7 linked regions of the Mus musculus genome follow. The protein of the gene in region 5 interacts with the protein of the main gene of each other region in a pairwise test. Links are inferred from orthologs where the notes say so. Each region holds a gene or a part of one and is shown on either strand. Other genes may lie near its edges.

Evidence for each region.
Region 1: the proteins of Klhl12 (region 5) and Pdgfrb interact in binary tests that used the Homo sapiens proteins (3 or more experiments, as listed by UniProt). The two-hybrid records come from large-scale screens. The link is inferred for Mus musculus from reciprocal best matches to the Homo sapiens genes KLHL12 and PDGFRB.
Region 2: the proteins of Klhl12 (region 5) and Bag6 interact in binary tests that used the Homo sapiens proteins (3 or more experiments, as listed by UniProt). The two-hybrid records come from large-scale screens. The link is inferred for Mus musculus from reciprocal best matches to the Homo sapiens genes KLHL12 and BAG6.
Region 3: the proteins of Klhl12 (region 5) and Dvl3 interact in binary tests that used the Homo sapiens proteins (3 or more experiments, as listed by UniProt). The two-hybrid records come from large-scale screens. The link is inferred for Mus musculus from reciprocal best matches to the Homo sapiens genes KLHL12 and DVL3.
Region 4: the proteins of Klhl12 (region 5) and Flna interact in binary tests that used the Homo sapiens proteins (3 or more experiments, as listed by UniProt). The two-hybrid records come from large-scale screens. The link is inferred for Mus musculus from reciprocal best matches to the Homo sapiens genes KLHL12 and FLNA.
Region 6: the proteins of Klhl12 (region 5) and Prr13 interact in binary tests that used the Homo sapiens proteins (3 or more experiments, as listed by UniProt). The two-hybrid records come from large-scale screens. The link is inferred for Mus musculus from reciprocal best matches to the Homo sapiens genes KLHL12 and PRR13.
Region 7: the proteins of Klhl12 (region 5) and Inmt interact in binary tests that used the Homo sapiens proteins (3 or more experiments, as listed by UniProt). The two-hybrid records come from large-scale screens. The link is inferred for Mus musculus from reciprocal best matches to the Homo sapiens genes KLHL12 and INMT.

Annotation. Positions count from the first base shown.
Region 1 is NC_000084.6:61,065,650-61,069,149, reverse strand, and holds part of Pdgfrb (platelet-derived growth factor receptor beta isoform 2 precursor), read right to left. Parts: intron 3,436-3,500; coding exon 3,243-3,435; intron 2,653-3,242; coding exon 2,537-2,652; intron 1,055-2,536; coding exon 931-1,054; intron 409-930; coding exon of another isoform or gene 406-408; coding exon 194-405; intron 1-193. UniProt on the Homo sapiens protein: Tyrosine-protein kinase that acts as a cell-surface receptor for homodimeric PDGFB and PDGFD and for heterodimers formed by PDGFA and PDGFB, and plays an essential role in the regulation of embryonic development, cell proliferation, survival, differentiation, chemotaxis and migration.
Region 2 is NC_000083.6:35,134,006-35,138,299, forward strand, and holds the start of Bag6 (large proline-rich protein BAG6), read left to right. Parts: upstream 1-1,494; 5' UTR 1,495-1,513; coding exon of another isoform or gene 1,514-1,623; intron 1,624-1,642; exon of another isoform or gene 1,643-1,999; intron 2,000-2,109; coding exon of another isoform or gene 2,110-2,122; coding exon 2,123-2,230; intron 2,231-4,294. UniProt on the Homo sapiens protein: ATP-independent molecular chaperone preventing the aggregation of misfolded and hydrophobic patches-containing proteins.
Region 3 is NC_000082.6:20,523,486-20,526,985, reverse strand, and holds part of Dvl3 (segment polarity protein dishevelled homolog DVL-3), read right to left. Parts: coding exon 3,455-3,500; intron 3,335-3,454; coding exon 3,225-3,334; intron 3,047-3,224; coding exon 2,911-3,046; intron 2,735-2,910; coding exon 2,641-2,734; intron 2,468-2,640; coding exon 2,398-2,467; intron 1,348-2,397; coding exon 1,208-1,347; intron 1,081-1,207; coding exon 1,004-1,080; intron 898-1,003; coding exon 830-897; intron 720-829; coding exon 570-719; intron 38-569; coding exon 1-37. UniProt on the Homo sapiens protein: Involved in the signal transduction pathway mediated by multiple Wnt genes.
Region 4 is NC_000086.7:74,229,535-74,233,034, reverse strand, and holds part of Flna (filamin-A), read left to right. Parts: intron 1-44; coding exon of another isoform or gene 45-68; intron 69-2,281; coding exon 2,282-2,529; intron 2,530-2,638; coding exon 2,639-2,734; intron 2,735-2,876; coding exon 2,877-2,979; intron 2,980-3,068; coding exon 3,069-3,209; intron 3,210-3,500. UniProt on the Homo sapiens protein: Promotes orthogonal branching of actin filaments and links actin filaments to membrane glycoproteins. Anchors various transmembrane proteins to the actin cytoskeleton and serves as a scaffold for a wide range of cytoplasmic signaling proteins.
Region 5 is NC_000067.6:134,454,367-134,458,330, reverse strand, and holds the start of Klhl12 (kelch-like protein 12), read right to left. Parts: upstream 2,801-3,964; 5' UTR 2,666-2,800; intron 1-2,665. UniProt on the Homo sapiens protein: Substrate-specific adapter of a BCR (BTB-CUL3-RBX1) E3 ubiquitin ligase complex that acts as a negative regulator of Wnt signaling pathway and ER-Golgi transport.
Region 6 is NC_000081.6:102,458,037-102,461,969, reverse strand, and holds the start of Prr13 (proline-rich protein 13), read right to left. Parts: upstream 2,801-3,933; 5' UTR 2,715-2,800; intron 2,507-2,714; exon of another isoform or gene 2,389-2,506; intron 1,863-2,388; 5' UTR 1,843-1,862; coding exon 1,824-1,842; intron 1,601-1,823; coding exon 1,251-1,600; intron 1-1,250. UniProt on the Homo sapiens protein: Negatively regulates TSP1 expression at the level of transcription. This down-regulation was shown to reduce taxane-induced apoptosis.
Region 7 is NC_000072.6:55,170,127-55,172,190, reverse strand, and holds the end of Inmt (indolethylamine N-methyltransferase), read left to right. Parts: intron 1-913; coding exon 914-1,343; 3' UTR 1,344-1,564; downstream 1,565-2,064. UniProt on the Homo sapiens protein: Functions as a thioether S-methyltransferase and is active with a variety of thioethers and the corresponding selenium and tellurium compounds, including 3-methylthiopropionaldehyde, dimethyl selenide, dimethyl telluride, 2-methylthioethylamine, 2-methylthioethanol, methyl-n-propyl sulfide and diethyl sulfide.

The sequences.
Region 1 (3,500 bases), on a different chromosome or scaffold from region 5:
AGTTGTGTTTGTGCACCTGGGCCGACGTCATATTTTGCGTGTGTGCATAGGAACGTACTCTGGTAGGTTTTTGTAATGTTCCCATGGGCTTGTGAGTATGCCGACTTGGCCTGCTTTGGGGATTCAGGCTCAGTACGGCGGGATCAAGGAAGGGGTGAGAGTCATCAGAGCCATCCACAGGTGGGGCACTCACAATGTGGGACCACGGTGACCTCCTGCGAATCTCCACCCATGGAGTTCTGCAGCATGCAGCGTACGGACAGTGGCTGATCCACGTGGCGCAGGCGCAGTGTGCTCACCACCTCGTATTCCTGATCTTCCTCCCAGAAAGTCACATTCGTTTCTAGCTGGCTCTCCTCCTTGGAACTATTCCCCAAGGGTGTGGGTGACAGTTTTCGTGGACACCTACTAGGAAACACAAAAGGACTGGCTTGCAGGCTCTCTTAATTTCCCCTCTGCAAATGAGGGAAAGTAAGACTTGAAGCAGGGTCCAAAGAATAGGCTTGATTTCCCAGTGCTTGCTCCTTAAGCAGGTTCCTACTGTGCTGCCTAGATCAACCAGCAGAGGGCGCTCCCACTCTAGAACTGAGACTCCTAAACGGCAAAATTTGCCTATTGGACCTTCAAGGATAGAAAGGCAAACCCTGAACTCTATACACTATATTACATCTAGCTCTGGTCAAAGGTACAAAACATTCACTGGGTGAATTAGACACCTCTGGGAGCCAGACCCTGCTCCTTCCTGGGTTGAGGATGGCTCAGTAAGAAAAGGAGAAATTTAGGTTAGTCACGGTATCTCCCGGAAGGCAGAGGACTGGTCTAAGATGTGGCTTAGACCTCTCAGGTGCAGAGGCCGGTCTAGATTACCCTACCTGTGCATTCTAGGCAGCTGTGTCTATTGTGGGAGGCTTGGCGTCAAGGTGTGCTCACCTTTTGAGGTCTCTGCAGGTAGACCAGGTGACATTTGGCTGAGGCATGCCCCGGCCACGACAGCGGATTGTCTGCTCCCCATTGGCAGGGTGACTCTCACTCAGCTCCAGCACACGGACGGGGACTGGACAATCAGAGAGCAGGATCAGGAAGTGAGGTGATCAGAACAGAGCACTGGAAAGGCTGTCAGGAGGATGCCCTCCAGAGTGTCCTGTCCTCTTTGTCCTGACCTCCCTCCCCCCAGGCAGGGGATGGCAGGTGAGCCTCAGACACTAGGAGTCCCAGTGTGAAAGTGACAGGTTCCTTTGGGGCACATCAAAGGGCAAGGCTCAGAGTCAGTCTTTAACATCCCTCTGAGAACTGCTCTTCAAAGAGAGAACAGGCCAGGAGCCGGGGCAGCCAAGCCCATGAAGCTAGGCACTGTTTTGTTTTCTCTGAATGTATTTGAGTGTTTTTTATATTTATGGCATATGACACTGAGTTTCCATCTACAATTGAGATGCTAAATTTGTCTTTCAAAATACATTTATTTTTAGAAAGCGAATTGACAAAACATTAAGTGGTTATCATGTCCTTCTCTGCTCCAGTCCCTGTCATAGCCCTTCCTGTCAGTCCCAACAGAAGCCAAAGCCGCCTTGTATGGAGCTGTAGTCTATACCGAGCCACAAGCTCTTACCCAACGACTACCCCCTCCAACCCCTCCATTTCTGCCCTAACCTCATGCCCCCCCATATATGCCAGCGCCCTCTGATCTGGCCACACCCAACTTCCTCCTATTTCTCTGGCAATGTGACAAGGGGTGACACATGATCTGGAGTGTCCTTTCCACTAATACCCACTTGTCCAATGCCCTCCCTCCTTCAAGTCTCACAAATGTCACCTGCAGAACAAGGCTAACCCTGATCATCTATCTATCTATCTATCTATCTATCATCTATCTATAATTTATCTATTATCTATCCATCATCAGTCTATTATCTATCATCTTTGTATCTATCATTTACCTATCATCTTTCTATCATCTATCTATCAATCATCTATCTATTATCTATCTATCAATCATCTACATCCCCAGAGAGGGGATGTGCCAGATCAACTGCCTATCATTTAACTTATCTATTACCTATCTATTTATCTATCATCTATCTTATCTATCTATCTATCTATCTATCTATCCATCTATCTCCTTCCCCACCCACTACAGTTTCATGTTACTTTCTAACCTTTCTTCGTTTTCTGTGGAAACTCCTCCTTTTCTATTTCTCTTCCCCTATGAGGATGCAAATCATAGCAGGTAGAACTCTGAACAGACTGCCATATTGAAACCACTCAGCAGAGTAGAGATTGTGTGTGAGAAGTAAAATTGTACCATCAATACATAAATGGCCCAGATTTGGGGGCGCTCCAGTACAGTCTGACAGTCACCTTCTACATCTGGGGAAACTGAGGCCCAGAGAGGGAACATGCCAGATCAACCGTCTAAAATGTAGCCTCGTGGGTTCCGGGCCCTTTGTCCAGCCTCCCCTGTGGGTGGATGGGCAGAGAAGGAAGGAAGAGAGATGGAGGAGGGAGGGAGGGGAGAGAGGGAAAGGGAGGTGGCCCTTACCATTGACCTGCAGCTTGAAGGAGAGCTGGACCTCATCGTCCTCGTGGAAGGCTCGCATAGTATAGTAGCCCGCTTCTGACACCTTCACACGTACCAGGATCAGTTCTGACACGTACCTGCGGAGCAGGCCAGGCCAGGGGACCTGCGATCAGAACTGCAGGAACCCCTAAAGCATCCTCGCCTTCCTGTAGAATGCCAAGGGGAGGGATACCCTTGCCAAGGTCACGCAGCAAGGTCGCGCAAGGGATAACAGCAGAGTCAGGATCCACTCAGTCTCCTGAGTCCTCAGCCACGGCCAGTTCCCCTAAACTACCAGGAAGGCTTGGGAAGGGCCAGGGTGTATACCCATCTCTCAAAAGCTTATCCCCATCAGAGGGGCACATTCTTGCCTGTCTGCAGATCTCTAGCCTTGGGGAAATCCTCTTCCTATCCGGTGTTTTTGCTTTTGGCCATTACCTGCTGGTTCTGTTCATCACAAGGTTAACTAAACCTCTGAGTGGCCAAGTCGTCAGTGTCTGCTACCCCCACTAGGAGGAGCAGAGCAGCCTGCGTTGCTCCTGCAGGAGCATCATACCTAGTACCTGGCATGTGTCCATCACACAACAGGCTCTCAGACAAGAAGGTCCTAGGTTTGTTGGTGACTGAAGGCCCCAGGCTGCCTGGCAGCTTTGAAGCTTCCAACATAAGTGGACTAACTGGTGCTCACCGGGTCTCAGACATGTTGCGAGTAGACAAAACTAACTCGCCAGCGCCGGAGTCACCCAAGGTACGGTTGTCCTTGAGCCACAGGACAGAAGGCATCGGATAAGCCTCGAACACCACCCGCAGCGTCCGACTCCGGTGCAGCTCAGCAATTTCTACATCTCCCAGTGTCTCCAGCAGCCGCACGTAGCCATTCTCTGCGGAAGGTACAACAGTTAGGGGCGGGCCCTGTGGGCGGAGTTATGCCCAGACACCAATGCAT
Region 2 (4,294 bases), on a different chromosome or scaffold from region 5:
CCCTGCACTGGGTGGTGGTGGGGGGAACATTGTCCTTATGAGTTCCAGGCAATTCAGGGTAACAGTGAGACAGCATGTAAAAGTCTCATCATACAATGCTTACTGGAAGTCTCATCAGTACTGGCATCTAAGAATAAGTGGGGAAGAATGCAGAGAGAGAAAAACTTAACCGTTCAACTCCCTTGGCGGTGGGCCTTTCAATCCCCTTTCTTTTTCTTCCTTCTTTTCTTTTCTATTTTATTTTATTTTATTTTATTTATTTTATTTTATTTGTTTGTTTTTGAGACAGGGTTTCTCTGTGTAGCCCTGGCTGTCCTTGAACTCACTTTGTAGACCAGGCTGGCCTCGAACTCAGAAATCCGCCTGCCTCTGCCTCCCAAGTGCTGGGATTAAAGGTGTGCACCACCACGCCCGGCTTTTCTTTTCCTTTTTTAAAGATTTATTTATTTTATGTATGTGAGTACACTGTCGCTGTCTTCAGACACACCAGAAGAGGGTGTCAGATCTCATTACGGATGGTTGTGAGCCACCATGTAGTTGCTGGGAATTGAACTCAGGACCTCTGGAAGAGCAGACAGTGCTCTTCATCTCTTGAGCCATCTCTCCATTCCCTTGGTCCCTTCTTAAAGTCTTGTCCTTTAATCTGATCCGCAAGGCACCCGTTCTCTTTTCTTTCTTTTTTTCTACAAAGCTCTTAAAAAGCAGCAGAAATGTCTCAAAACCAAAAAATGCAATAGAATTTTTTTTTATCCTTAAACATGGCACTCCCTCGGAGATCTCAATAAACAGGATGCTCAAAGTCTGCAAAGAGCCCAACCGGCCTAATCCCGCCAGGAACTAGAGTCGGGCACAAGCAAACACAGCCCGCGGAACGCCACCAGCCGTCCACGAAAAAGAGTGGCTTCCGGAAGAACAGAAATGATGGGAGGACCAGAGGTCTTGCAGAGTTTTAGGTAGTTAGAATTGTGCCTGTAAACGTCTCTGACCATCAAGATGGGACGTTGATTAACGAGGTGCACTCCACACAAGTCTCACAATTTTTCTCGAGGAAATTACAGCATCTCACTCAGTCATTTTTCTTTAGGCGTTTCCAGTAGCCACCCCGGTCCGGTTGCACTCTGGCGCGCGCAGGGAAGAAACGCACATAGCCGGAGGGGGGCGGGGAAGTACTTAGAGTGTGCGCACGCGTGGCGCCGCTCACGCAGGCGCAGTGCGGTCCCCCGGGCGACGACGGCGGCGGCGGCGGCTCCTCCGGGTGGTCGGCTCCCTCCCATCTCGGCCGGCCCGGGCCCGTCTCGCCCCCCAGAAACTCACTGTTCGGGGCTGTGGACTTTCTCATCGTGCCCCACGAAAGTAAATCGGGGGAGACTGGGGGAGCCGGAAGTACCGCCTCGAGATCCCCCCAAATACGATCGGGGAAACGGAAGTGGCCCTTGGTGCCAGGTTGGGGGAGACCGGAAGTGACGGTACCGTGGGGACGTCGGGGGCGGAGCCACAGGGTGGTGGGCTGTGTATGTGTGTTTGTATGTGTTTGGTCGCGTGTTGGTTAAGTCGTGTTGCTGGAATACCGAGGAGAGGCGGAGGCGGAAGGCGGGGGCGGTCAGCGAGCCCGTCCAGCCTCCCGTGAGTGTCCGCGGTCTTGGGTCGGTGGTGATTTAGGCGGGTTCGATTGTGGTGCTGCGCGTGCGCGAAGCCACTTTTCTCTGCCGAGTCTAGCGCGACCCTCCCCCCACCCCTCGCGTTGTCCTAGGATTTCCCGATCTCTCGGGCGCTTGCTCGGTCGCGACCGGTGATGACACTGGCCTCTGGTCGGTCTCGTGCTTGCTTCCCTGATTCCTAGCCCAACTGGCTCTCCCTATTGTGATTGGCATGGTGGAGCCCCTCCCACCTCTCGTCCTTCATCTCCCTATGCCGTCGATCTCCTACCCTTTGTGTTTCTGTTCCTGTGCCCCCGAATCAAAAAGGGGGGATGAGAAGGAGGATGAATATATCTGCTTGTGTATGAGAAACTTTGAAGGGATTGGGGCGGAGATTGGGTCCAGAGAGGCTTCCGGGTGTATAAAATACAGTGCGACCGACAGCGAACCCCCCCCCCTCGTTCTTCTTTAGAGAGCTGTCGGCCATGGAGCCGAGTGATAGTGCCAGTACCGCTATGGAGGAGCCTGACAGCCTGGAGGTACTGGTGAAGACCCTGGACTCTCAGACTCGGACTTTTATTGTGGGGGCCCAGGTGAGACACCAGTACTTTGTAGAAGGATGCGCCTGATTTTCTTGTCATTGACTCTTTTGTCCCTTACTGGATAGGACATCTGATGTACCTATTGAGTGAGGGGATGTGGTTACTGTTGAGTGAGGCCGATTTGGAGTCTGTCTTCACTTTGACAGAACTCAGTGAAGAGGAAAGTAGAGAGGAGGGATCTATACCTGTTCTGTGCAGACCCCAGCCCAAAGAGACAGACATGACTCTGGCCTTTGGGACCAGACACAACACAGGGGGCACCTTGGACAAGAATGGTGTGTCACAGGGACCTCAGACAAGTTTGGTGTGGGTTTTTTTTTTTTTTTTTTAAACAGAGTGTTCACAGCTTGGTACTATTTTTATAAGATTAAGGAAACCTGCTTTCATCCACTGTGAAGTAGACTTGTCAATAGCTGAGGCATGGTTTGAGCCTCCTGACCTTAGTGCACTGTGGCCACTGCATAATTCTTTGAGACAACCACCATGAGGAGGTCATTTTTGTGGTTTTTAAAGCAGATATTTAAAAAGCCACATAGACTTTTGTCTGTAGGTACATGTGATAGTTAATTTGGCCCTACCAAGAATTACTTAATGTCTTTCCGGGAGGTGGGCACAGGATCTCCTATAGCCCAGGCTAACTTTGGCCTCTGACCACTGTGCCTTCGTCGTCTATGTGGTCGTCTATGTGCTAGGATTATATGCACTATAACAGAGGACCACATCTGACTTGGCTTGGTCCTTTTTTTCTTACATAGTGAAATGTCTTAGAACTGATGGTCTTGTACTCATGATCCTCCTGTCTCTGCTTTCCAAGCTTGGAATTTCAGTTGTATGCTATTGCTATTTTTGGTTTGTTTGTTCTTTTTTTCCACCTTCCCTTATTTTTATTTATTTATTTATTGCATGTATGTGGTTCTGATGGGTACTGAACCTTGGACCTAGCACAGAGCACTTACTACTGAACCGTATATTGTGTGTTCCTTTCTGACCTTTGTTAGTTATCTTTCCAGACCCTGCCTCCCAACCCCATGGTGGTAATGGTTGTTTTGGGTTGTGTGTATTTTTGGTTTCTTTTAGAAGATTGTATTTGTTTTTATTTTATATGTGAGTGCTTTCTCTGGAAATACACATGTGCACCTTGTGTGCACTTGGTGCCTGAGAAGGTCAGACTCTGCAACCTGTGGCCTTTTCTTCATGTGGAAGTTAGGAAACTATAGCCCCAAACTATAGCCCCTACTTTGTTACAGATGGTTGTAACAACCTCGAACTCAGAAATCCGCCTGCCTCTGCCTCCGGAGTGCTGGGATTAAAGGCGTGCGCCACCACGCCCTGCTTGCTTCATTTTGTGTTTTAAGTCAGGGTTTCACTTTGCAGTCATGGCTGTCCTGGTAGTCAGATCCACCTAGCTCTGTATCCTTGAGATTAGTGGCTGTGCCAGTGCCTGTCTATCTGCATTCAGCTTTGAGATTATGGCCTTGAACACCTGCTATTGTTTTAGTTTAGAAAAGGATCACTGGTATCTCTAGATACTGGATAGCAGAGAGGGAGAAAGGGAGAGCTATTCGGCTTCTTTCGTATAGGTTTTAGTTATTTACTGTTGTTGTGATTTGGATTTTTTTTTAAATTAATTTAATCTCTGTACATTGGTCTGACTATTTTAGAACTCACTACGTAAAGCAGGCAGGCCTCAAACTCACAAGAGATCCACCTGCTTCTGCCTCTCAAATGCTGGAGGCATACACACCACGTCCCACTTATTTTTAATTATGTATTGGTATGTGTCTCTGCCTCTGGGTACAAACGCTCATAGAAGCCAGAGACACTGAGTCTCCTAAAGCTGTGTTTACCAGTAGTTGTGAGCTGCTGCCCAACGTGGATGTTGGAAATTGAACTGGAGTCCTCTGCAAGACCAGTATGAGCTCTTAATCACCGAGCCATTTCTCTAGCCACACTCTTTTATTTATTTATTTATTTATTTATTTATTTATGGACATAATAAATATCGGCCTGTTGATATAGTTGGCTAGTGAGACTGTCTGATTTTGATGTTGGCAT
Region 3 (3,500 bases), on a different chromosome or scaffold from region 5:
ATGTCACTGTGGATGGAGAGGTGGAAATCATCTAGGCCTGGGGGAAGGGGCAGAGTAGTGAGACAAAGAGGCACTGTGGAGTTGGGAAAACAGGAGTGGCATCCTAGTTCTCCCACTCAACAGTGACAAGCCCAGTGTCAGCTCCTTGAACAGTTTTCCCTCCTGTAAAAGTGAATAGATTAGTGCCTTCACAAGGACACATGAGAATAACTCAATGACTTCATGCAGCTACCTAAGCACATGCACGACAGGAAAACCGAGGGGTTCCTCCATGCCACACAGTACCACTGAGTTAGAGCCTCTTGTCAAGCCCCAGAGAAGTCTGGCGAAGGATATACTGGTAGCCCCATTGTATGAGAGGAAACTGAGGCTCTGTGGGCGCTCACCGTACATTAAGAAGCAAACCATGTTCAGGGAGGCTGAGTGCCCTCTGGGGAAGGGCTGTGGAGTGAGGTCTCTGGAATGAGTAGAGCCCCCTCAAAGGCTCTCCCCGATGCACAAGCGGGTCCTCATCAATCCTCCCACCTGGCCTTGTCTGCCGGGTCCGAGGGACAGGCTTGGATACTCACGCTCTGTATCAGGGATGGAGCTGGTGATGGAGGAGCTGGTAGAGGTGATGGTGCTTAAGGAGGGGCTCATGCCATAGGCGGGGAAGGTGCCTGTCATGGCTGCCGTGTGAGAGACCCAGGCTGCAGGGTCAATGGGACGGATGGGCTCGCCTGCAGGGAGGGTGAGGAGTCACAGGCCGCCCATCCACGTAAGGAGAAGAGAGAAGGCGTAGAGCTTACACAGCCCACACCGACTTTACGGATGAGCCCTGTTTACTTACTCCGGGGTAATGTGAAGCAGCCGCGAGGACTTGGGTCCCAGCACTTGGCTACAGTCAGAGTGATGGGCCTGAAAACAAGGTTGTCCTCATAAAGGCAGGATGTATGAAGGCCAGACCAAGTCTCCGGCCAGAGACGCCTTTGCCCACCTTCCCTAGAACCCCATCCACTCATACCCTGGCTTGTGCACAATCTCCCGAAGGACTCGGACTGCGTCATCGTTGCTCATGTTCTCGAAGTTGATCTCATTTACCTGAGAAAGAGGGCTAGGAGTGAGGAAATGGAGTGCTCAGGAGATGGACAGGGGAGCTGGGTTGAGGGTTTCCCTCCAGACCACAGGAACTCCTTACTCTCCTCCCACCCAGGGTAGTCGACGATACCTGCAGTAGCATATCTCCTGGCTCAATGCGTCCATCAGCTGCCACAGCCCCACCCTTCATGATGGAGCCAATGTAGATGCCCCCATCACCTCGCTCATTGCTTTGGCCCACAATGGAGATGCCCAAGAAGTTATACTTTTCTGCAGGGAATAATTTAACACCTTGAGAAGGGTGGGGTTCCTACCCAAATTCCCAGCCCCTTGTTAGTACAGGGCAGAAAGGGGCAATAACTGACTGATATCACTGACCACATAAACATTACTGTACAGTGTACACGTTGACATGCTTTTAATTTCCCTACTGGTTGTGAGGCAGAGATTCTGAACACTTTACACATAGGTAAGACCTAAGCGACCTTTCTAAGACAGCAAGCAGCAGGAAGTAAACTCAGATTTAAGTTCCAAGTTAAAGTTCTTCCAGTTATATTTAGCTGCCTTTACATTTTTTAAAACCACATTCTTTTTTTTTTTTTTTTTTGGGTTTATTTTTTTTTCAAGACAGGGTTTCTCTGTGTAGCCCTGACTGTCCTGGAACTCACTCTGTAAACCAGGCTGGCCTTGAACTCAGAAATCCGCCTGCCTCTGCCTTCCAAGTGCTGGGATTAAAGGCGTGCGCCACCACCGCCCGGCTAAAATCACATTCTTATCTATTTGTTTTGTTGTAGAAGGCACTCATGTGTGTGTGTGTCTCTGTCTCTGTCTCTCTGTGTGTGTGTGTGTTTGTGTGTGTATAGTTCAGGGGGCAACTAGTAGGAGTCAACTTCTCCTTTTACCATGCAGGTTCTAGGGGTTGAACTCCAGTCATCAGGCTGGGTGGCAGGCCCACCTGCTGAGCCATCTTACCAGGCACTAGCTGTGTTTTAAAAAGTCAGAAGTCAGAGAGTACAGATGTATGTAATGGCAAGGTGAGCAGGGACTCCTCCCCCAGGAAGCCTCCCAGGGTGCCATGCTCTGTTCTCACAGTTTGGTTTACCTGTTACAGCTCTGACTCTGAAATACTGAAATGGTTACATGATGTCTCAGTCAGTATTTACAGAGCATAACTGCAGAAGAGGAAACATATCTTTTTCTCCCTGTATTGCATATGGAACCCAGAGCCTTGTACTATACTGCTGAGCTCCCACTCCAAACCCCAGAACACGTATGTTGTCTTTCCCAGCATGGGCATTTGGCAGTGTCCCCCAGACTCACCCATGTTGAGAGTGACGGTGATGATGTTGAGAGACATAGTGGAGTCTGTGATGCTGCTGAAAGACGAGGACTGGAAGAGAGGGTGTCTGTGAGCAGCAGGGGGTACAGGGGGTGGGGAGGAGGGGTCCCACAAACACTGAACCGAGCAGAAGGGCTCTGAAGAAGAAAAGAGCTGTGGTCCTGCCTAGGAAGGACTCACAGTCTAACCTCCTGCTCAGTCCCTGAACATCCGAGAGCCCATACCCGCTCAATCCGGGAGACCTTCTGCTTCCGCCGCCGCCGCTTGTGTCTTCTCATGAGGCGTGAGGCACTGCTCTGTTCTGTGGAGCTGCTGAACCTGTGGGGTCCAAAGTCGTTCCCCACCAGGCTGGCCCATCCTTGCCTCATAAAAGGCACAGTAGAGCCCTGGTCCCCTCACAATGGCCACATCCCACCAGCGGTGAAGAACCAGCTGCCTCATTGGTCACTTCCCGCCTCACTCCCATCCCTGTACCTAGGAAAATCAAACCCCACCTGCTGGTGGAATCATCCTCATCGGAATCAAAGAAACTGGTAGTCTCCAGCTCGCTGCTCATGAGGGTAGATGAACTGTCATAGCCGCCTGGCTCCCGTCGCCGCTCACCCTTTGTGGTTCCATTGAGTCGGGCTGCTGCAAGGGAGATAGGCAGCTGGGTCCATACAAGGCTCAATGCAGGGAACAAGGGATATGAGGCAGGCAAGCCAGGGCCTGAACAGGGCCCAGGCATAGCCATAACTCGGGAAGTAGGGTAAAGAGGCGGGAAGCTAGCTGGAATCTGCCGAGAGGAGCTGGAAGTGGGCATACACACCGTGCTCCGGGCCATCCCTCCGTCGGGGCCGCTCTCGTTGGGCAGACACCAAGGAGTCGGTCTCCGTGTCATTGTCCAGATTCTCCTGGCTGCCCCCACTAGCATGAGGGCTAAAGGGTAGAGAGGACTTGGTGGAGAAGAGAGAAGGCTGGGGGCTCCCTTCCCCAGCCCTGGGTTGAACTGAGCTGCCCTTTGCTCATGGGCCATTCCCACCTTCAAGACACACTTACTGGAAGGAGGGGGGTCGAGAGTCCCCAATGCCTCCTGTGCGTTCCA
Region 4 (3,500 bases), on a different chromosome or scaffold from region 5:
GACTCACCTGACCTTTCTCCTTGCTCTCTGCCCTCTCACCTCAGTGTCAATCGGAGGTCACGGGCTAGGTAAGCTGCTTGCTGGGGCCACTCCCAATGCCCCTACTGCCCAGAGAGGCAGTTTCCTTTCCTCTTCATTGCTAATTCATTCCCAGGACAGTTCCAGCTGCAGCTCTAGGCAAGGACAGAGTTGGGGAGGCTGTGAAGACAAGGCCGTGGGCTGGAGGGTCAGGGCCCAGGGAGGTTTCTGGAGCTAAGCATGAGCGCTCTGGTTCTCCCCTCTCTGGGCCTCCATTTCCCCATCTGAGAACTTGGGTTGCAGCTGAGAGCTTTGGGGTGAAGTATATCCTAGGAGGCACCTCAATGGGGATTTTGGGGTCTGGGGATCTTGGCACCCCAGGGAAGCACCTGGGGATGGGCAGCAGGTGCTTCCTTCTCACAAGGGCTCCTGTATGGGCTCCTGCATGGGCTCAGGGGACAAGGTGGTTTCCTCCACCCACTGGGAGTCTAGCCCTTGTCAGATCCACAGACTTCCATCCCCGCCTCCCAGGGGCCTCTGTGTCCTGGGCTGGGGGAGGTGCATGAGTGGGTGGGGCTGGGTGGTGGTACAGTAGTGCCAGTGTCAACTGCTTGGGTGGCCAGCATGGCAGGGCCTGGCCCAGCCTCAGAGCTCCAAAGTGCATTCTGCGACCAATCTTTTTTCCTTCTTTCTTCCCATTCCCCCAGCAATGATGTTAGACAGTCCCTATCAGGCAGGTTTGTCTGCCCTAAGACAAAGACATCCTAGGAATACTGATATGAGACTACAACTACTTGCAGACTTCTGAAGGCTATCAGACAGGCATTTGGGTAGATGGCCAAGGACAGGATTTAAGATAGCTAGGTTTTTGTGGCAAAGGCTAGATTATTTTGTAGAATAGTTTATGGGGTTGAAGATGGCATATATGTGTACACAGGGGAGGACAGAATTAGGCCAGGAACTTGGAGTGGCCTCAATTTTCTTGGCCATTATGTGTGGAATGGAGTCAGGGCGCCCAGCCAGGGAACTTAAATCATCTTTGGGTAAGCCAGAAGGTTGTCTTGGGCCCGGTCAGTGGCTATTGGGACATTAAGCAGTAGCCCAATTAGCAGGTGTACTTTGAGGATGCTATGGTCAAGACTTGCTGATCACCTGGAGCTTGGGTACAGAAATGAGAAATCAAGAAGCTTTCAGAAGGCCCAAATCATTAGCTAGATGATACAGGGCAGGCATAAAGGAAGTTCATGGCAGCATGGGCAGCAGGCAACTAGGGTAATAGCTGAAGTTGCTATCTGAGTCTCATGTAGCCAGTGTGAGACCAAGGTCGAAAAGGGGGCTTGGTGGCAGGCTGGCAAGGGGGCCCCTTAAACTTGGTCCTCATATAAGTTTGGTGTTCCTAGCTGCTTTCCTTGTGGGAGGCTGGGCTGCAGGGGTGCTCTGGCTGCCAGGCCTTACAATCCACAGCTCCCAAGCCTCCACAGCTGAGCCCCAGATCATAACATTACTGTCCTTTCTCTTTTCTTGGGCACTATGGGGCCCTAGAGGCTGCTCAGATGCTCTACCCTTGCAACCCTGCAGTGGTGGCTTGGGACTCCTGTCTCCTGTTCCTTGGGTGCTGCCACTGCTTTGCCAAGCCTGCTGTGATGCACTGCTAACCCTTCTACTTCCCTGCTGCTTGCTCTTGCCTGTGCCAGGCTGTGCTATGCTGCCTCTCATTGCAAGCCTCTGGTTGAGCAAGCGTTCTCAGTTGTCAGGAGACTCCAGTTTCACCTTCAGGCCTCGGGGTTGGGTAGGGAGGAAAGTTTCACATCCCCCACACTGCAGCAGGACTCTGCCTCACTTCATCCACACATAGCACTGGGGCCCAGGGCCAGACCACGGGTGTAGGTAGCCATGGGCCTGGCCAGAGTGCCGGTATAAGTTAGCATAGGCCATGATACCAGCTGAGGCTGAGTTGGCAGAGGAGGTAGCAGTAAATGCTTGTGCTGGGATTGGATGGTCCCTTACTTGTCTTCCCAGGTATCTGGGTACCACTTGTTGGTCTTCTCTCATAAAGGGGCTTGAGGTGGTCAGGAGAATCCTTCCTGCCTTCTGAGAAACCACTCACCATCGTAGCTTGGGGTATGGGTTGGGCTAGAGATTGGGGCTGGCTGTGCTTGGTTGTAGCAGTAAGAGGCCTGGATGGGTAGCAAGCTGATGGGGGTAGCCAAAATGTTCGGCTCACCTGCTGGCTCCCCTCTGGGGATTCACTCTGCTTTACCAGGTGCTGGCATTGGCCCCACCATCCAGATTGGGGAGGAGACGGTGATTACTGTGGACACAAAAGCAGCAGGCAAAGGCAAAGTGACTTGTACTGTGTGCACACCTGATGGCTCAGAGGTAGACGTGGACGTGGTGGAGAATGAGGATGGCACCTTTGACATCTTCTACACAGCTCCCCAACCGGGCAAATATGTCATCTGTGTGCGCTTCGGTGGCGAGCATGTGCCCAACAGCCCCTTCCAAGTTACAGTGAGAAGAGGCCAAGGATGGGTGGGCAGGGAGATCTGGGAAAGTCCTAGCCTGTCCTTCCAGGTCCCTTTGTGACAACAGTCTCCAACCCTCTCACTTTGCCCCACAGGCTTTGGCTGGGGACCAACCAACAGTGCAGACCCCATTAAGGTCTCAGCAGCTGGCTCCACAGTATAACTATCCTCAGGGTAGCCAGCAAACCTGGGTAAGGCCTGGGCCTGGTCTATTATTCAATTTGTCTAACCCATAGGGACACTTGAAGCTGGCCACCTGGATGTCTCATGTGGCCCTGAGAAACCCCATATCTTCTCATAGCCCCTCACCTGATTCTTCTGTCTCTATTGCAGATTCCAGAGAGGCCCATGGTGGGCGTTAATGGGCTGGATGTGACCAGCCTGAGGCCCTTTGATCTTGTCATCCCCTTCACTATCAAGAAGGGGGAGATCACTGGTGAGTGAGGGCTAGGAAGAAACTTGGAAACTAGTGATGGCCAGGGTGTTCCAATCTCCTGGCCTGACATTGAAACCACTGCTCTGTAGGGGAAGTTCGAATGCCCTCAGGCAAGGTGGCCCAGCCTTCCATTACTGATAACAAAGATGGCACTGTTACTGTACGTTACTCACCCAGTGAAGCTGGCCTGCATGAAATGGACATTCGCTATGACAATATGCATATCCCAGGTGGGTGTATTGCCTCTTGTCCACTCCATCCTAGGCCCGTGTTGCTATCATCTCAGGAAGAACAGGCTAGGGCTGGGTTATAGGTCAGTTAGTAGAGCCTAGCATGCATCAGGCTCTGAATAAACTAGGTATCATGGCACATGCCTGTAATCATAGCCCTCGAGGCAGGAGGATCAGTGGTTCAAGGTCATCCTTAGCTTCATAGTAAGTTCAAAGCCAGCCAGAGAAACATAAAGACCCTGTTTCAAAAACAGAACCAAAATGACTAACAAATGAATGAGTCTGGTATTC
Region 5 (3,964 bases):
CACAAATACAGAGCACTTTTGACCCTGGCACCACCACAATCTGGCCAACACCGACCCCAGTAAAGGTTACCTCTTCTTTCTCCAAACTTAACATTCTATATCTTTGGATTCAACCCAGTAAAGAGCAAAATATTAAAAACTAAAGAACTGATTTTGAACATGTGCAGATTTTTATCATTTTTCCTAGTGAATACTATCTTAGCGTTATTACGCTGTGATAAAACATCGTGACCAAAAAGCAACCTGGGAGGAAAGGGTTATTTGTCTTACATATCCTGAGTCACAGTCTAGTGACTGGAACAGAGATGGGAACTAATATTCCAGGAGATAAGGTAGGGATGATGCTACAGGGTCAGGGTAGCTTACTGACTTGCTCCTCATGGCTTGCTCAATTTCCTTCTCTCTCTCTCTTGCTCAATTTCCTTTTCTTTCTTTTCTTCCTTCCTTCCTTTCTACTTTCTTTTCTTTGTTTTGATTTTGGTTTTTTTCTTTTTGAGACAGGGTTTCTCTGTGTAGTCCTGGCTGTCCTGGAACTTACTCTGTAGACCAGGCTGGCTTGGAACAGAGATCTGATTCCCTTTGCCTTCCAAGAGCTGGGGCTAAAGGTGTGCATCACCACCAATCAGCTAGCTCAGTCTACTTTCTTACAGAGGCCTGCAGTCCATGAATGGCACAGTGAGAGAAGCCCCTCCCGACCAATCACTAATTTAAAAAATGCCCTACCAGCTTAACTGCTTGCAGCCCAATCTTCTGCAGGCATTATCTTAATCAAGGCTCTCTCCTCTCAGATGACCATAGCTTTTGTCACAGATATAAAACTAGCCAACACAAATACAGTAAATAACTGTACTGTTTTAGATGTGATAAGTAATCCAGAACTTGTCTTGATAGGGTATGTAAGTGGTATATGCAAATACTATGCATTTAACTCTACATGACTTCAGAGCCAGGTGTGGTGGTATATGCAAGCCAAGCATTCAGGAGACAAAGGTAGATTTCTGCAAGTTGGAGCTCACCCTGGTCTACATAATGAGCTCCAGGCCAGCCAGGGCTCCATAAAGAGACTTTTGTTTCAAAGAAACAAAGTAAACAAAGAAGACCAGCACACTCAGATTTTGGTATCTATGTTTTGTTTTGTTTTTGTTTTTGTTTTTTTTTTTTGAGACAAGGTTTCTCTGGGTAGCCCCAGCTATCCTGAATCTTACTCTGTAGACTGGGCTGGCCTTGAACTCACAGAGATCCACCTGCCTCAGATTCTCCCTGGGATTTTCCTCCTCAGAACACTTTCTAGGGGATGCAATGAAGGTGCTTATGAAAACTGTCCTTTGAGGATGCAAAACTTTCTAAAATGAACCAAAGAAAAAAGAAACTATTCATCTAAAGTCTACAATCCTAATTTCCTAAGATTAAAACTGAGATTCTACATTGTCATCTTTTGTTCAGTAGCTCCTTCAAAAGGACTCTGGACACTCCCCCCCCCCCCCAAACTCTGCAACATGTATTTAACCAAAAACTGAGACAACTTGCTAAAGTAAATGCTTTTTGTTTTTAAAAGGTTTGCTTAAGCTAACATAGTTTCAAACTATGAGATGCAAGAAACTGGGGATTTGCTGAATTCTCAGGAGCTGAAGATTATGAAGATTTCCTAGTGTTCTAGCACAAGGCCCAGCCTGTGATTAAACTTTAAGATTTGTTTCATAAATGACAGTAACCTCAGGGCTGCAACTTTCCTCCTAGCACAAAGCCTGACCATATATTCACCATTCAAAAACTACACATTCTAGAACAGCTAATATGTAAATAGAGGGGTTCCATTCTAAATCATTCTAGAAGGAAGAAAAAAGGCAATGAGAGAGAGAGAGAGAGAGAGAGAGAGAGAGAGAGAGAGAGAGAGAGAGAGAGAGAGAGAAAGGAGTTCTCCCCTAAGAACACCAAGCTTACCATCAAGTATTAGGGAGACCTAGGTAGGCAAGGAGTTAGATATGCGGTAATCATGGAAGCTGCAACAGTATCTTGGTAGCTGTGTCTCCCGGTTAAGCAGGGACTACACTAAGGTTCCCATGGTCAAAATCTGTAAAACTGTATTTGGGATGTTCCACCAAGGCAAACGATACTTAACAAATTGCCAAAACCGCGTTAAAGGGTCTGCATTCTCAAAAGGCACTGGCTTCATTACAATGTGTTGGAGTTTCCAAATCTCCCACCCCATACCTTGCTTTTTTTTTTTTTTTTCAAGATTGCTGGGGATAAATGCCTTACAAGAGGAGGTGAAGACCACTATAATTTGGGAGGGAAAGGGAATTATCTTACCTTCATGCATGAATATACCTTACACCTCACTAATATTCTTAAGAAACTTCTTTAAAACCCCAATGCGCTACTGCCTACCTTCGGAGGAAGCCCACTCCAATCTTTGGAGTGTGTAGCTTTACTAAATAAACGTCCCCTTACTGTTTCTCAGCTGAATTCTTTCCTCCCAGGTTAAACCTTCTCCCGGGGCAGGCGGCAGCTGCTCCGGAGAAGCCGAGAAGGCAGCGCTATGCCTGCAGCGCCCCAGCTCATCTCCTACCGACCCGGGCTGGGGGGGGTACCCGGGTTGGGGGAAGGCCGCGCCCCCGGCTGAGGGCAGAGGGAAAGGCCGTGTGTCAGGGCCGCGCTCACTCACCAGGGCTCCTGGGCCGTCCGAGCCGAGGTGCTAGGCGCCGGGCTCCCAGGCGGCTGAGCAGCCGGAGCGCCGCCGCTGCCGCCCGGACCAGCCGCTGCGGAGCAGTCTCCGTGGTAAACTCCAGTCTCGGAGTACGGCGACCGCGCGGCATGATGACGTCACGCCACGGGAGGGGCGGGCCTCTCCTGGGTTACGTCACCTTAGGAGGCCGAGCCAAGAAGTCCTGCTTACCTGAGAGCTCAGAAAAAGAGACCTGAGAGTGGGTAGACGGGTGGGTGGGGAGTGCCGCGTGTGACAGTGCGCTGGAGGCCAGAAGGACCCAAGACTGGCGGTCCCCACGCGGTATGGCAGGCGCTAGGCTGCGTTCCTGCCACACTCGGGAGACCCACGGGGTTTCAGAGTTCTCTAGGTCGGTTTCTGAAGAATCAGGCTCCGCTTCACCATAGGGAGGACTTTCCCATCCCGGATAACCACAGGGTCCTAAATGTGCCTGTCACCATGAGGCGATTGCTTCCTTCACTCCAAGGAAAAGGAACTTGTGGATTGACTGAGCCACCAGAAATGGGTCGCAGTAGGGGAAACTGCAAAGACCCTTCTCAAAGAAGACGCCACAGCCATCTCCTCTCCTCTGACTCACCATGGTCGTTCATTAGTGCTGCGGTTCTTAGGACGTTTGCTTTTCGTTGATTTTGACTTTTTGCCTTTGGCTGAGAAGGGAAAGATGTTTCTTGTTCCAGTATAGATGAATGACTAATTGGATTATCCAGTTTTCCTTTGCACGGCGTTTGGTTCTTAGGGATAGTAAAGTGTAGTCAAGAGGGCAGCGTCTTCGTTTTACATAGTGTTTTCTTCGTGTCATAGCTTCTTGATCCCAAACTGTTCCTGACATTTAAATATGGTGGACAGAGTGCAGAATTGATAGAAAATGTTGAGGGCACTCTGGAAATAGTTGTTAAAATGATCAATGTAGATCTATTTTGTCTAGGTTTTGTAGTGTAGTCATCAGACTTCAGGGCAGGAATGCTTCCCCACCAAATCTGGACCCAGAACTACTACAGCAGATGAACTTAAGGTAGCTAGAACAGAAGCTAACGATCTTGGGCACCAGGCACATACATGGTGCTCATGTATACATGTAGGCAAACCATTTATGCACATAAAATCTTAAAATTACAAAACATATCTACTGGTTCTCCTGGTCTTCTCTGGCTACTTCTGCTTTTATATATGCATTTCCCCTAGTAACATCTTTGCCCTTTTTCTTTCATCTAGGCAAATGCTTTCCTGATGAGCAGAAAA
Region 6 (3,933 bases), on a different chromosome or scaffold from region 5:
ATTGCCTTCCAACCAAGTTTCCACACCTAGCTAGGACCAGGAAAGTGGAGCAGGGTGTGGGAGGCTGCTGCTACCTTAATCATCCCTCCTTGTTTGTTTTAAGGAATGACAAACTAGCCAGGTGGTGGCGCACGCCTTTAAACCCAGAGGCAGAGGCCGGCGGATTTCTTGAGTTCAAGGCCAACCTGGTCTACAAAGTGAGTTCCAGGACAGCCAGGGCTATACAGAGAAACCCTGTGTTGAAAAAAAAAAAAAAAAAAAAAAAAAAAAAAGAATGACAAACTAGAATCTCTCTGCACCTCAGGGAGGGTAGGAACGGCCACCGTGTGGGCCATGCTGTATTTCTAAGTCCCACTAGGGGAAAAAGTGGGGAAGATGGCAGAGACAGACAGATGGCTGGAGAAATCCCATCCCAGGATCCACACAGACATACCTCCATCAACTACCGTAAAAAAAAAAAAAATGTTTTTAGACTCTCGGGGTACTCTCCCTGGTTAGTGTCTCATTTCCTTCCCTACTCCCCACATGTCTACCTAAGACCCAGACTCAGGAACTAGAGCCCAGATCCACGGAGCAAACAAACACGGGCATAAAGTCTATTCGAAGCCTCAAGTTTCAGACTGAGGTCTTCCTGAGTCCTCAGGGGAACTCCCCCCCTCACTAATGGGTTCCTGTGGAAGGACTGTACTGGTCTTGTGAAGGAAAATCCCCTTTCACCCCAGGCTTTGCTGGAGGCTGAGTCACAGAAGGCTCGTCCAGGGAATTAACTCAGTACCAGGGAATACTGAAGGAGATAAAGAAAATCCAGGAACTAAGGGCCATATGACCACTCAGTAAACTATTATGCTTTGTCACTGTGCTTTGTCACTCTTTTGACATTTAGACAACCTCAGTGGGTGTGTCCAATTTACCAAAGGATACACCCGGGGTGGGTGAGGGAAGTTACTGGGAAAGAGTTAGGTAAAGAAGGTCGAGGGCTTTTGGCACAGAAATCCTCCCCGCACCCCTTCACTTTTCCTTGGCAGATGGGAGTGATCTGATGCCTCAATATTACTAAACTCCTTTCAGGAGGATCCCCTTACTTAAAGGAAAAACCATCTACATCTGCTAAAGCGACAAGGTTGCGGGCTACCGCTCCCACACACCATCGCCTGTGCCCACAAACCGTGAAAGTCCTTCCCCAACTCCTGATCACCCCTGGTCCCTCTGAACGGAGCTCCTTCCCCAGCCAGGCTCCAGATGACACTGACCTTCCCGTGCTTGTGATGCTTGTGCGACTTCTTATGAGCTTTCTTCATTTTCTTCCGAGTCTTCTTGTCTATCACGATTCCGGGACCCACCATGCCAGGAGCCGGAGGATTCACGGGGCACATGCCAGGAGCAGGTGGTGGGTATGGGGGAGGGTAGGGACCTGAGGGTTGGTATCCTGGACACCCTGGTTGTGGTACAGGATAAGGGGGACGACACGGAGGGAAAGCTGGGTTTCCCTGGGGAATTCCGGGAGGACAGGGGCCAGGGGGAAAGGCAGGATTGAGAGGTGGTGGACAGGCAGGATTGGAACCTCCTGGGCACACAACTTGGGGTGGATATGGATTCGGTCCTGGAAGAAGAATCCGAGAATAAAGATTAGAACTGTCCGGAACCTCTATCAACACATAATACAAATCACTACCGTTCTTAAGCCTTATGGAAAGGCAGAACTTGGTAACTAGCAGTGGTCCGGTGGCTTTGCTTTTGCTTGGGGCTGCGGGGATAGATAGAAACTTCCTGTTTCATTGCAAAATGGGCTGGGGCAGGTCAGAGGAGAGCCCCCAGGAACTTACCAGCATTAGGATTCCACATGTCGAGATGTTAGCTCAAGCCTAGGAAGTAAACCAGGCAAAGTCTGAAGGTTCCAGGAAGGGAGGAGGATTTTCGAGAACCCGAGCCCCACCCTACAGCCTCCACCCTACCAAGACTCTCACAGATAAACCTCCACTTAAAAATGGGCTGCACTCTGGAAACAGAGGCAGGTGGATCTCTGAGTTCCAGACCAGCCTGGTCGAAAAAGAGTTACAGGACAGCTAGAGCTACCCTGTGTCAAACCCAAAACAAAAGGAAATGAAAAAAAGTTCCCTGCTGGGCGTGGGGGTGCACACCTTTAATACCAGCACTTGGGAGGCAGAGGCAGGCGAATGAGGCCAGCCTGGTCTACAAAGTAAGTTCCAGGACAGCTGGAGCTATACAGAGAAACCCTGTCTCGAAATAACAAAAACAAACAAACAAACAAAAACAAAACAAAAAAAAAAGTTCCCTTTTTCTTTCCCGCATCCTCATAGCCTACTCTAGCCCAGGATTTAAATCACAGGAACTCTCTTCCCAGGGCCCCTCCCACTTTCACTATCTCACCTGGATGGAGAAGTCTCATTTCCCTCTCCCTGGAAAGGGACCGGAGGCCTTTAAGCATCCGTAGTGTGAGATGGGACCTAAACTCCCTGCTCGCCCCGGGGGCACCCCTGAAGTGAAGCTAAAATAAACAAATAAATAAAAATAAATAAATAAACAAACAAATAATCCCATCCTGAATATCAAGAAAGACACTCCAGGTCCCAAAACTCTTAGAACACACACACAACCCCCAAAGAGCAAATGGAGTTCTTAGTTCTCAGGAATAAATGGATCCCTGGCCCAGCTAAGAGGAGAGATGGAATTTGGGAGGCCAGATGCCCTGTCACCTTCCCAGATCGCCAGCCCGCTCCTGTCCTCCTTCTCAGTCTGGGTTCGCACTTCCTGGTCACTCCTATTCATTCTATACTTCCGCACCGCCCCTGTGACCTAGTTAATAATTATGTGATCACTTTGACACGATGATTGGAGAACTGACTTGTCAATCGCTGTGGTCCAACTAAACAAGGAGGAAACCGTTGCGCTGGCCGCCAGGCGGAGCCTTAGGGAGAAAACATTGCGTTGTGAAATACATACAGGTGAAATACGGAGACGCAGCGGAAATGCTCCTTAGGGCGGGACCGAGGCGGGGTCAGCTCCAAGCAAGGACCTGAGCCAACGAGATAAACTCTCACTGTTTTTTTTTGTTGTTGTTTTGCTTAAATTTTAAGATTTTTTTTTTTAATGTGTATGAGTGTTTTGCCTCAGTGTATGTGCACCAAGTGCCTGCTTGATGGGTAGACTTGTCTGTAACCTAGCATTTTGGAAATGGAGGAAGAGAATCAGAATTTAAAGACAATATTAGCTTCTTAGGGAACCCTACATAAAACCTCAGAGAGAGCTCTGTCATGATGGCACAACACCTTTAGTCCCTGAACTCAGGAGGCAGAGGCAGGTGAATCTCTGAGTTTGAAACCAGCATGGTCTGCATAGTGAGTTCCAAGACAGCCAGAGCCACACAGACCAGCCCTGTCTCTGACTCGGAAAATAACAACAAAAACAAACAAACAAAAAAAGGCCTCAGAGAACAAAAGGAGGAAGTTCTGCTGAGTCCCAGCCCTGGGCTTCAATGTTGCCAGCTGCTAGAACCACAGCCTGTGGTTCTTTTTTTGTAGAAAGATAAGAGACAGGGTTTCAATGTGTTCAGCAGATGGTGCAGTTATAGTTTCATGTCATTGTTCTGGGTAACTAAGTGAATTCATTTTTGGTTTTGATGTTTTTGAGACAATCTACCAGTATGACTTGGGTTGACTTTGGATGAAAAGCAGTCATCCCATATCTCTCTCTCTCTCTCTCTCTCTCTCTCTCTCTCTCTCTCTCGGGTGCTAGAAAAACAAAAGCAAGCCACAACTCTCAGAATTTTTTTTTTTTGGTTTTTCGAGACAGAGTTTCTCTGTATAGCCCTGGCTGTCCTGGAACTCACTTTGTAGACCAGGCTGGCCTCGAACTCAGAAATCCACCTGCCTCTGCCTCCCGAGTGCTAGGGTTAAAGGTGTGGGCCACCAAGCC
Region 7 (2,064 bases), on a different chromosome or scaffold from region 5:
TGCACTATGCATGCATGGAGCATGAGTATGTGTGTGTGAATGTATGTATGTCTTTGTGAGAGTATACATTTGTATGTTAATGTCTATATGTGTGTGTGTGTGTGTGTGTGTCTGTGTGTGTGTGTTGGCATGCATTCCACAATGGATGTGTGGAGGTCAGAGGTTAACCTGTGGGAACTGGTTCTCTCAACATGTCGGTCCTTGGGATCGAACTCCACTTATGAGGCTTGCTTGGGAGCAAACTCCTTTACCCACTGAGTCATCTCATTAGTTCAGGACCTGCATCTTTAAAAGAACTATTCAGTACACCAAGCTGAGAAGAGTGTCAAACCCAGTCGGGGCAGCAGGTGGCAGAGCTACCCTAGCAGCGACAATCACCAGAGAAATCTCACCTAGGAGCTTGGGAGATGCTGGAGTCTGTAGCAACCCTGTGGGTCACCTCAGCCACTGTGTCAATAAAAGAAGACAAAGGAGTCAGCTCCAGAGGAATGACACCTGAGGTTGTACTCTGGCCTACACACACACACACACACACACACACACACACACACACACACACATTTGCATGCACATTTCCACACACACATGCACATATACACACATACACATAAACAAAAACAGTAATAACGAAACCCACCAAAAAGACCAAATGATTTTAAGAAGGAAGGGGAGGTGTGAAAGAGGAGGGCAAAATCAAACCCTGGTGGCTGTGAGCATCTTTGTGTCTTGGTTTCCAGCCGCATGGCATGTTGACAATTAGATTAAATGGCAGGATGGTTGTGGGGCCAGAGAAAGTCGTAAGTACCACAAAAGCGGTTTTCCATGACTGCGACCTTTGTCGCTTATTACATCGGCTCATTGTGGTCCTGCTCTCGATTGTGACCATAACAGCATCTCTCTGACCTTCTCACAGAAGCAGGTGGCAGGAGAAGGAAGCCAAGCTCAGAAGGACAGTCACTCGTGTCCTGAGGTGTGATGTGACCAAGACACCCCCGCTGGGGTCAGCTCAGGTGCCTCTGGCTGACTGCGTGCTGACCTTTCTGGCCATGGAGTGTGCCTGCCCTGATATAGATACCTACCGGGCAGCCTTGCGCAGACTGGCCGGCCTGCTGAAACCAGGAGGGCACCTGGTGACCCTGGTTACTCTGCGCTTCCAGCACTATATGGTGGGCCCCAAGAAGTTCTCTGGGGTCTACCTAGAGAAGGAGGTGGTGGAGAAGGCTATTCAAGATGCTGGCTGTCAGGTGCTGAAGTGCAACTGCGTCTCCCTCAGCTACTCGGAGGCTTACTGCTCCCACGACGGTTTGTGCTTTGTGGTGGCCCGGAAGGGTCCCAGTGCCTGAGGCCACTGGCAGCGAATCGCCTTCCCTGGGAAAGTTATAGCAATCATTTGTAAAGCCTTGCTCCACAGCTTTCTAACACGGACCATGTTGCTTCTATCTAATACCTGGTCACAGTCACAAGGGAAAACCCAAGGTTCTCTATTTTCAGCACCAACATCCATCCCCTTTGCTCTTATTGTACCCTGTTGAAAGTTCATTTTAAAATAAAGTGGCCTATCTGGATTCTGTCTTGGGATGCCTTCTCTCAACAAAAGACAAGGGTTTGGCTGACAAACATTTATCTAAGAGCAGGTGCTATGAACACAAATGCTGGCACAGGACAGAGGCCAGGAGAAAGGCTGGTGCTCTGTGTACTGCAAAGCCCTTCCCTCTGAGGCAGCTGGAGCTGGGGCCAATGTTGGGGCCCGCAGGTGGTGTCACCTACCTACTGAGGGAGCTAGCCATGCCTACTAGCTTCCCTCACAGTGGCCAGAGGCAGCTCTTGAGGGTCTCTTGTCTCAGCAGCTTCAGCAGACTTGCAGGTGCCAACCACAGTCAGTCTGGTCACCATGCCCTGGTTCAGAACAGGGATGTCAATGTGTGCAATGTGCTAGCTGGGGTGGAGAGCTTCCGGGTTCCTTGACCCTTCTGTGGGAGGCCTGGGGGACTGTTCAAGTGACCCAGAAGTATTGTATTTTCTGGCTAAGGAAAAGTGCTTGCTTCTGTTTTCAATGGTTATTTA